Linked DNA regions of Mytilus edulis. Each later gene encodes a partner of the first gene's protein in a complex. Links are inferred from orthologs where the notes say so. Each region holds a gene or a part of one and is shown in the gene's direction. Other genes may lie near its edges.

Region 1 (3,935 bases):
CGAATTACATCCTGGTTTTACCGATTTTTATTAAGCAATTGAGAATCGTTCGTGTAGTTAAAATATTTTAAAAATTGTATGATAATCTCTTTTGTAATCTCTTTCACATTTGATCAGAGTTTTATGGGGGAAACCTGTACATAAAAATATTTTTGAGGTCTGATAAAGGGTTTGCATAGTCACGCTATATAAATTCTTCGTCTTTCCTTAGTAGAAGCCTATTTTTCATTCAAGTATCTTGAAATTTTTTAAATCGTATATACAACTTGCTAATTTTAGAAAAGTGGACCTCTGTAAGAAAACTTTGTCAATATTACCAAGGATTAATATATTCTTATTATACAAATCTTTTCTATCATATATAATCTTATACGAATTTTATTCTTATCCTCATTTATATGATATGTGTAATTAAAATCAATGTAATTTACAATATACAGTGTTGTAATTGCGGTCATTTGGGGCCCGTAATCGGAAATCATGGCTGAACTCTTTTAAAATTTATTTTACAACCTTTTAGTTCCTCATGAATTTCATGTTCATGCATTATGAATATAATATATTGGGTATTGATAGCAATGTATTTTTTTTTAACCGATAGCAATGTCTCTATCCAAGGTTCCTTTAGAAACAATAAACTTTCTACTTTTTGTACAATATGATCACTCCCTTAACTTCAAGTTGGTCTAGGGCGATTTGACATGTGGGGCGAGTTGGCTTCTTTCATGTACGTTGCTTTTTATTTTTAAGTTCCCTTTAGGTACTTAGTGATACTACAATGATTCTCTGTAGGGATAATCTGGCCACAACCTCAACATTGGGAAAACGAATTTTAGACGTTCCCTCACTTTTGGATGTCGGTTTGCATGTCCCTCTAAGCTTTGATGTTGTATTTTTAATGTAAGAAGTAGTAAGCAAAGTTCTCATAAGTCGAAGGACAAATAAACACTATGACAAAAGAGAAAAAAAGGACGTATAAAAAAAACACTCTCCCAAACATGAATTATTATATGAAAACCACAAAATTATACACATCATGATAAATGTTGCTCTTAATGAGGGCAGGAATGACCCTTAACTGTTAGGCATATAATTGGTTGAAATCCTATCGTGATTTGTCAAAATATCCCCATCATAATTCGTCAGAGGTCTCAAATATTTAACCGTTACCGTAATTGTTGGAAAGAATTTAATGTGATTTGTCAAAATCAGTCAATTTCTTTTTAATCATTGTAAAAAATGTACTTTTTATCGTCATGCACCAAAATTTAATGATAACATCAGGTGGCAAGATTTTTTACCCTTATTTGTCATGAAAGTATCCCCAATACGAAGCCCATTATTTGAAAAAAGAAGAAATATTTTGTAAATATATTAGACTATCAACTTCCTTTAACAATTCCCTATGTATAATTTTCTGGTGTTGGACATTTCTTTTAGCATGTTAAGGATATAATTATATCACAATTTTAAAATGAAAACTATGGATACTCTTTATTTGGAATTATATCCAGAAAAGATCTTCATATTAAGGCTAAGCTATTATGACCTATTGGTCAGATTCAAATTTACACACAAAAGATGATTAGGGTTATACATTGTAATTTGGATGAAGGGCTAATTTATCTACTCTTTTGTTAAATTACAGATCATGGATCAAGACACAGCTCAAACCTTGTTCAAAGAAGGTGCTATTTTTGTATTCCTTGATGTACCAGTTGGAACAGAATTTGGTATTGATTATAATTCATGGAATGTCGGACCAGAGTTCAGAGGAGTTAAAATGATTCCTGCAGGTCTTCATTTTGTTTATTATAGGTATGTTACTTACATTGATTTAAATTATTGTCACTTATATTGAAAAAAGTACTAGATTAAATACTGTGGATTCATTAATTTTCTTGGGTGCCGATTTTCGTGGTTTGAAGAAAACGTGCATAGTCTCAGATATTTATTTTCGTGGTTTTGGCAAAGTCTGCATTCATTCCTTTAGAAAATATGTAATCCATTGAATATTTATGGTTCCCCTGGTCACTCAGGAAATCCTCGAAAATTGGTATCCAACAAATATTAATGAAACCACAGTATAATTTGTTCTCAGAGTTTAGACAAAACAATTATCAAAGTCCACACTCCACAGACACATGGTTCCTGTATGTTGAGAATGACAAAATTACATGTTATGGTCTTTTGTATTTTTTAATTCAGCAGTCTCTGTAGATACTAAGTAATTTTCAACACAAGATGAATTCAGGTTAATTTCTTCACTAAAAGAAATCAAGCGTTGACTTCATCATTGCTATGCTAGAGGGTCTAAATGGGGTAACTTTTTCTGTATCAAAAATTTTAAGGCATATTTTTCTTTTCTTTGAAAATAATGCTTATTGTTTTAGATTATCAGGAATATGATTTTACTAGTAATCTGTAATTATATGATTTTTTCCCCTGTTATTCGTTCATTTTTAAAATCCAAGGGTGGTGCAAATATTTCATGGGTGGAAGATCAATAGCCTTAAATAGCCTTGTCACTTTTATTATTCTGAATGATATAACTTCACAAAAGACAGCCCTTGAAATATGGCAATAGGGCCAAACATTCAATTTATCATTATACATGTTATACATTACGTTTTTAAGATATTTATTAAGATTCATTTACATTTCAGCGCCTGTAATAAGGAAGGTCAAACAGCACCTAGAACTGGATTTTTCTATAACTTCAGAAAGAAAGAAATTGTTGTTCGCAAATGGAACAGATTGTTAGAAGGTAACCTTATTTTTATCAAATTGTCAAAGTCAAAGTGGCAGAATTAATACAGTTTAATAAGGTTTAATTTCTAAAGAATATTCAGTGACTTGGCTGGTTTGTCCTGGTACACTTGTTCAATTTAGGCAGGTTCCTGGTTTTATTAGGCGTTGGTTCAGATAGGTTTCCCTGTATTAAAATTAAATGATGTCTGAAGGAAGTACCATCAATCTAGATATTTTAAAATGTGCCTGATGTTTGTTTTGTTCATTAATGGTAAAATTGCTAAATTTCTCATTGAGAAAAATTCCCTCAGATAGTAATGGTCTTGGAAATCACTTAAAATAGCGAAATTAACTTTTTTTTTTCTTGAGCAAATCACTCACAATAGCTGATAGGAAATTTGCTCAGTTGTACAGTACCTAATAAAGTTTTAGGTGTAAAAGTAAAAGTGTCTGTGAGGTCACTCTGATTTAATGTTAAAGTCCTCAACATTTTTTATGATTAAAAACACAGGTGCAAGGATATAGGTTTAATATCTATACTATTAAACGAGAAGACCTCATTTTGTGTGTCACTTCTCTTCCTTCCACAATAAATTAATCATCATGCCTCTGTGTCCTATAGGTACCATGCATAGTCGCATTTGTCATCCATTCTTATGATTTAATAATATTCAGATTCAGTTATTTTGGGAGAAATACGGAAAAAAAGGCGTCCTGATATTGTTTCCATCATCAGACTGACTTTTAGAAATAGATAAGACTTCTGTTTTTAAATTTGCATAAGTAATTGGAGAGAGGACATTATTTTCGCGTTTATCTTCATGTATACTATGATTATGCTACTATAATATATAGAGACTCTCTGTATTCTGTATACTGTTTTCTTTGAAATGTTTACTAATTAAGGGGTCATATCAGTTGCATATAAAAATAAGTAAAACATGTGGAAAAAATTTATTGTTGAAAGTGAAGTAGTGATTTGGCCAAAATGAAAGTAGGGTACTGTAGAAATTAGCCTTTGTCATTTATACAAGATACAAATCCTACCATTGGCATGTTAATAGGGTTCTCAAAAGAAAAAGCACAGATGGATTGTCCTAGAAGCATATTTTATTAGAATAATAATGGTCTATAAGCAGTTACATTTATTTCATGTTTGAAGCGGTGTAAAAAAAATAAATTAA
Region 2 (3,935 bases), on another chromosome or scaffold:
TGCAAATTGGTGGCCAAAAGTACACCACCTATGACTGCAAAAACCTGTCGGAAAGTTCACAAGGACTTTAGCTATCTATATTTAAGAATCTTATTGAACATCCTTACTAAACACAGATGTTTTACCTCATTAACTGTGGTTCCAGATGGTTGCATTGTAAGTTTAATTAACATTATCTCTGATTTTTTAGACTCTCATTCATATTTTTCTTTAGAAGACAAAGCCTTGTCTTTCAATGTTGCCATTATTTGATTTAGATGTATGACCTGTTTATAAATATGCATGGGTCTTGCAGTTAACCAATTTTAATAGGGGGCAGATTTTCACAATGGAGGTACAAATGGTGTGAAAAATACGGGAAAACATCATTAAAACAGAGCAATTGCTTGGAAACATGCATAGGATTTCCCATACTTTCATACTATTTCCACCTCTTTCCAAAAAATCTGCCCCCTATCAAATATGGCCGAACTAACCGTGAAGAGCCCTATATTTGCAACTTTTTGATTCTGATCAATACTTCTTGCTTAACAATATATGACTTATTAAAGTCGTATTTTGTCTTGCTTTAAAGGGAGACAAATCCTAAAACTTACAAATTTAGACCTCTATGAGTCAAAAGCAGATTCAGACTTATTTATGTCTGAGCTCTGACTTATTAATATGTCAGTTCATGTGATATATTCAATATGATCAAGAGACAAGATAAAATAAAGAGAGAGCGCAAGCTGATAAAACTGATGTATAATTCCAGCAATGGAAAACAAATAGTGATAAGGAGTGTACTTAGTATAAGGGCTTGATAAAATCTGTGTCAGTTCTGTTCCTAGGGTATGACTTTGTAGGGGCACAAAGTTTCCATAGAACTATCATTTGACTATTGGACGCTGCAAAAATTTTAACTATTGATTAATACTACTAGAAGAGTCAAATACTTAAAAGGTCTTCATGCATAAGCCTCACGGTCAATGCATCAATATATTTTTATTTATTGAAATAATTTCCCAGACCCACTTGGATTTTTTTAAAACGTTTGCCTAAATCAATGTACAAACTGTAGACACTTGATTTGTCTTTAAGATTTATCCTCAATAAATACATTTGACTAGTATTTATTACGTGAAAACGCCTTTAATGGGATGAAGTGTCCTAAAAACGACCGTTCTACTCCAGTAACCAAGTGCGTTCTGCCATTTTTAAACAATTCGAAATTTTATTGATCACAATGGATAAAACGAATCAAAATTTATTTGATCTTTTTCGTTAATTCTTTTAAGAATGAGATTGAAAATATAAAAAAGATAAAGTTTAGAGTCGAAAATTATGTACCTTTCCGTTTATATATGAATAAACAATCATATTTTCAATATGACTAAGTTCGTTTTCTCTGAAAATCCAGAATCTGAAAATTCTAAAAATGTCGAAACGAAAACGATTTGAACAAGACCGCGAAGAGGATTTGAGAGATTTCGAAGATTTAGACGACGAAGCAGCCCGGAGATTCAAAGATAAACATTCCTTAGATAGTGACGAAGAAGATGAAAACACTGGAAAATATGACATATTGGATGAAGATGATATTGAAGGTTTGCAAGCAACTCGGAATGACATTCGTATCTATCGGACTTGTCCCTGTCTTGTTTTTATCAAGATCTTCTTCTTCTTCTTCTTCCAATAATTTGCATACCACCTCTGGTGTATTATCGCAAATGACTATTTACACAAATCCGGTTAAAAGCCATCGTGGTGTTATATACAATTAAAACTGAAATATCTTACATGAAGCAGGTGTCTGGAGGCTGTCTTTGAATCCTGCCAAAGTGGAAGCTGTGACGACAGCAGATCATCATGCCAGATGGTAGTTCATTCCACTGACGAATTGAAGGGGGTCTCATTGAGGGGTTCTGATCCCGCTTACTGTTTTGTCAGATTCCTGTATCCCGCTTACACTATGTACCTAAGCAATTCTCATTTTTTTGTAATTTTCCGTGTCCCGCTAGACCTTAATTCCCGTTTTCACGGCACAATAATTTGACTTTCCCGTTTCACGCTCAGGGCCGTAACTAGGGTTCCAATTCAGGGGAGGCAGGGGTTTGGGCCCGCCGATTGAGGCCCCTAAGAGAGGGGGTTTGGGGGGGCACAGCCCCTCGCCAAATTTTTTCTCAGTATAATGACTAAAAATGACCCGTTTTCCTTCTATTTCCTTTCATTAAGAAACATCAGTATTGCTTGAACCAGGACGCAATTTTTATGCAAAAACAAGCTGAGATTGCTGTTCGGGGTGAGCCAAGGCCCCGTCTTGAAGGCCGTACTTTGACCTATAATTATTAACATTATATACATTGTGACCGCAGATTTTTTTCTCAATAAACTTGAATCAGTGGCTAAAAATGACCCGTTTTCCTTCGATTTCCTTACTTTAAGAAACATCAGTATTGCTGGATCCTGGAAGCAATTTTTATGCAATCAATTATCATCTGTATTTAAAGATATTTTTGTTAGAAATCAAACTGGTAAGTAAAAAAAACATATCAATCGATATCATAGAACGCAAGATATCTTTTTTATCGAGGACCTTGAATTTCAATATTGTTGAAAGCTAAACAGACATGTATATAACTATAACCAGTGACTTTGAAAGTTTTTATACTAGTATATACTTACAAGTTAGTATAGAAAGTCCCTGCTACAACGAATGGGAGTGTTTAACTACTAAGGCATTAGTCCGAGATTACTATCAAAAATCCGGAAAATGACATATATCACGAATCATGAGAACACTGTTAAAACTATAAACTTAGGTTGTTTATAATATAAATTCAAGTTCTTCGTGTACATATTGTCAATATTTCATTTTATTACTTGAAAAAAAAATTGGTGTAGAGAATTCAGGGGAGGCGAGGCAGTTGCCTCCCCTGCCTCTTAGGTAGTTACGGCCCTGACGCTTACGAAAAAAGCGGCAATCCCGCGTCACGCTAAGACCCCAATGAGACCCACATTGAAGATGGAAAAAATGATTGCTGGTGGTTTTGATCATAGCACTATTTTCAGTCTTGATACATATTTCAGATATACATTTTTGAAAAAGCACCAAAAATATGCATAAATATTAATAATGACTGTTCCGTAGTACCACACTTTTCTAACATGTCTAAGTGTGATGAAAACGGGTTGCACTAATGACAGGATGACTGACCGGCTAGTGACAGGACGGTTGACCGGATGAGACAAAAATAGTCATAAGTTTTTTGTTATTTGGTAGATTTTTTAAATATTTACAGACTTTAAAGATATCAAACTATATTTTATGAAAACAAAACAAACCAGATGCTCCGCAGGGCGCAGCTTTATACGACCGCAGAGGTTGAACATTGAATGGTTGGGGCAAGTATGGACACAACATTCAAGCTGGATTCAGCTCTAAATTTGGATTGTGATGAAATAGTTGACACAGCATAGGTTTCTGCATTGTTCTTACACAGAATGAATGTGGTCTAATGAACTTAAAATATTTTTTTTGCCTTTGAGCAATTCACTATGCTGTTGAATATTAATCCTCTCAAAAAAATGTTTGAAGAAATTTTCTTTTTATTTATGACATCTGAAATGAGAAAAATTTACCCCCCCCCCTTTTTTTTCACATCCCCCTTTCCCTTTTTCTAAAACTGATCTCAATTCAAATTTCTAATGGAGTTTGCAACAATAACTACTCATTTAAATACATCATAAAATATTAAAATGTAAAATAAAGTGGTTGTTATCACTGAATGGTAAAGATTGTTTTAATTTATCAGTTGGTAGTAAAAGTGAATATACATTATATATTGTATAAAACAATAATTTAACTTGATTCAACTACTATTCTGGACAAAGGAAGATAACTTCAATTCAAAATTTCTTGCTATTGCACAATATTGTGCAATTAGATATTTCTT

The links.
Region 2: protein AAR2 homolog (region 1) and CD2 antigen cytoplasmic tail-binding protein 2 homolog share a complex: the UniProt entries of both Homo sapiens proteins name them as parts of the U5 snRNP complex. The link is inferred for Mytilus edulis from reciprocal best matches to the Homo sapiens genes AAR2 and CD2BP2.

What each region holds. Positions count from the first base shown.
Region 1 is NC_092348.1:58,116,741-58,120,675, reverse strand, and holds the start of protein AAR2 homolog, read left to right. Parts: upstream 1-763; 5' UTR 764-778; coding exon 779-856; exon of another isoform or gene 857-900; intron 901-1,648; coding exon 1,649-1,818; intron 1,819-2,666; coding exon 2,667-2,767; intron 2,768-3,935. UniProt on the Homo sapiens protein: Component of the U5 snRNP complex that is required for spliceosome assembly and for pre-mRNA splicing.
Region 2 is NC_092349.1:60,053,845-60,057,779, reverse strand, and holds the start of CD2 antigen cytoplasmic tail-binding protein 2 homolog, read left to right. Parts: upstream 1-1,391; 5' UTR 1,392-1,417; coding exon 1,418-1,586; intron 1,587-3,935. UniProt on the Homo sapiens protein: Involved in pre-mRNA splicing as component of the U5 snRNP complex that is involved in spliceosome assembly.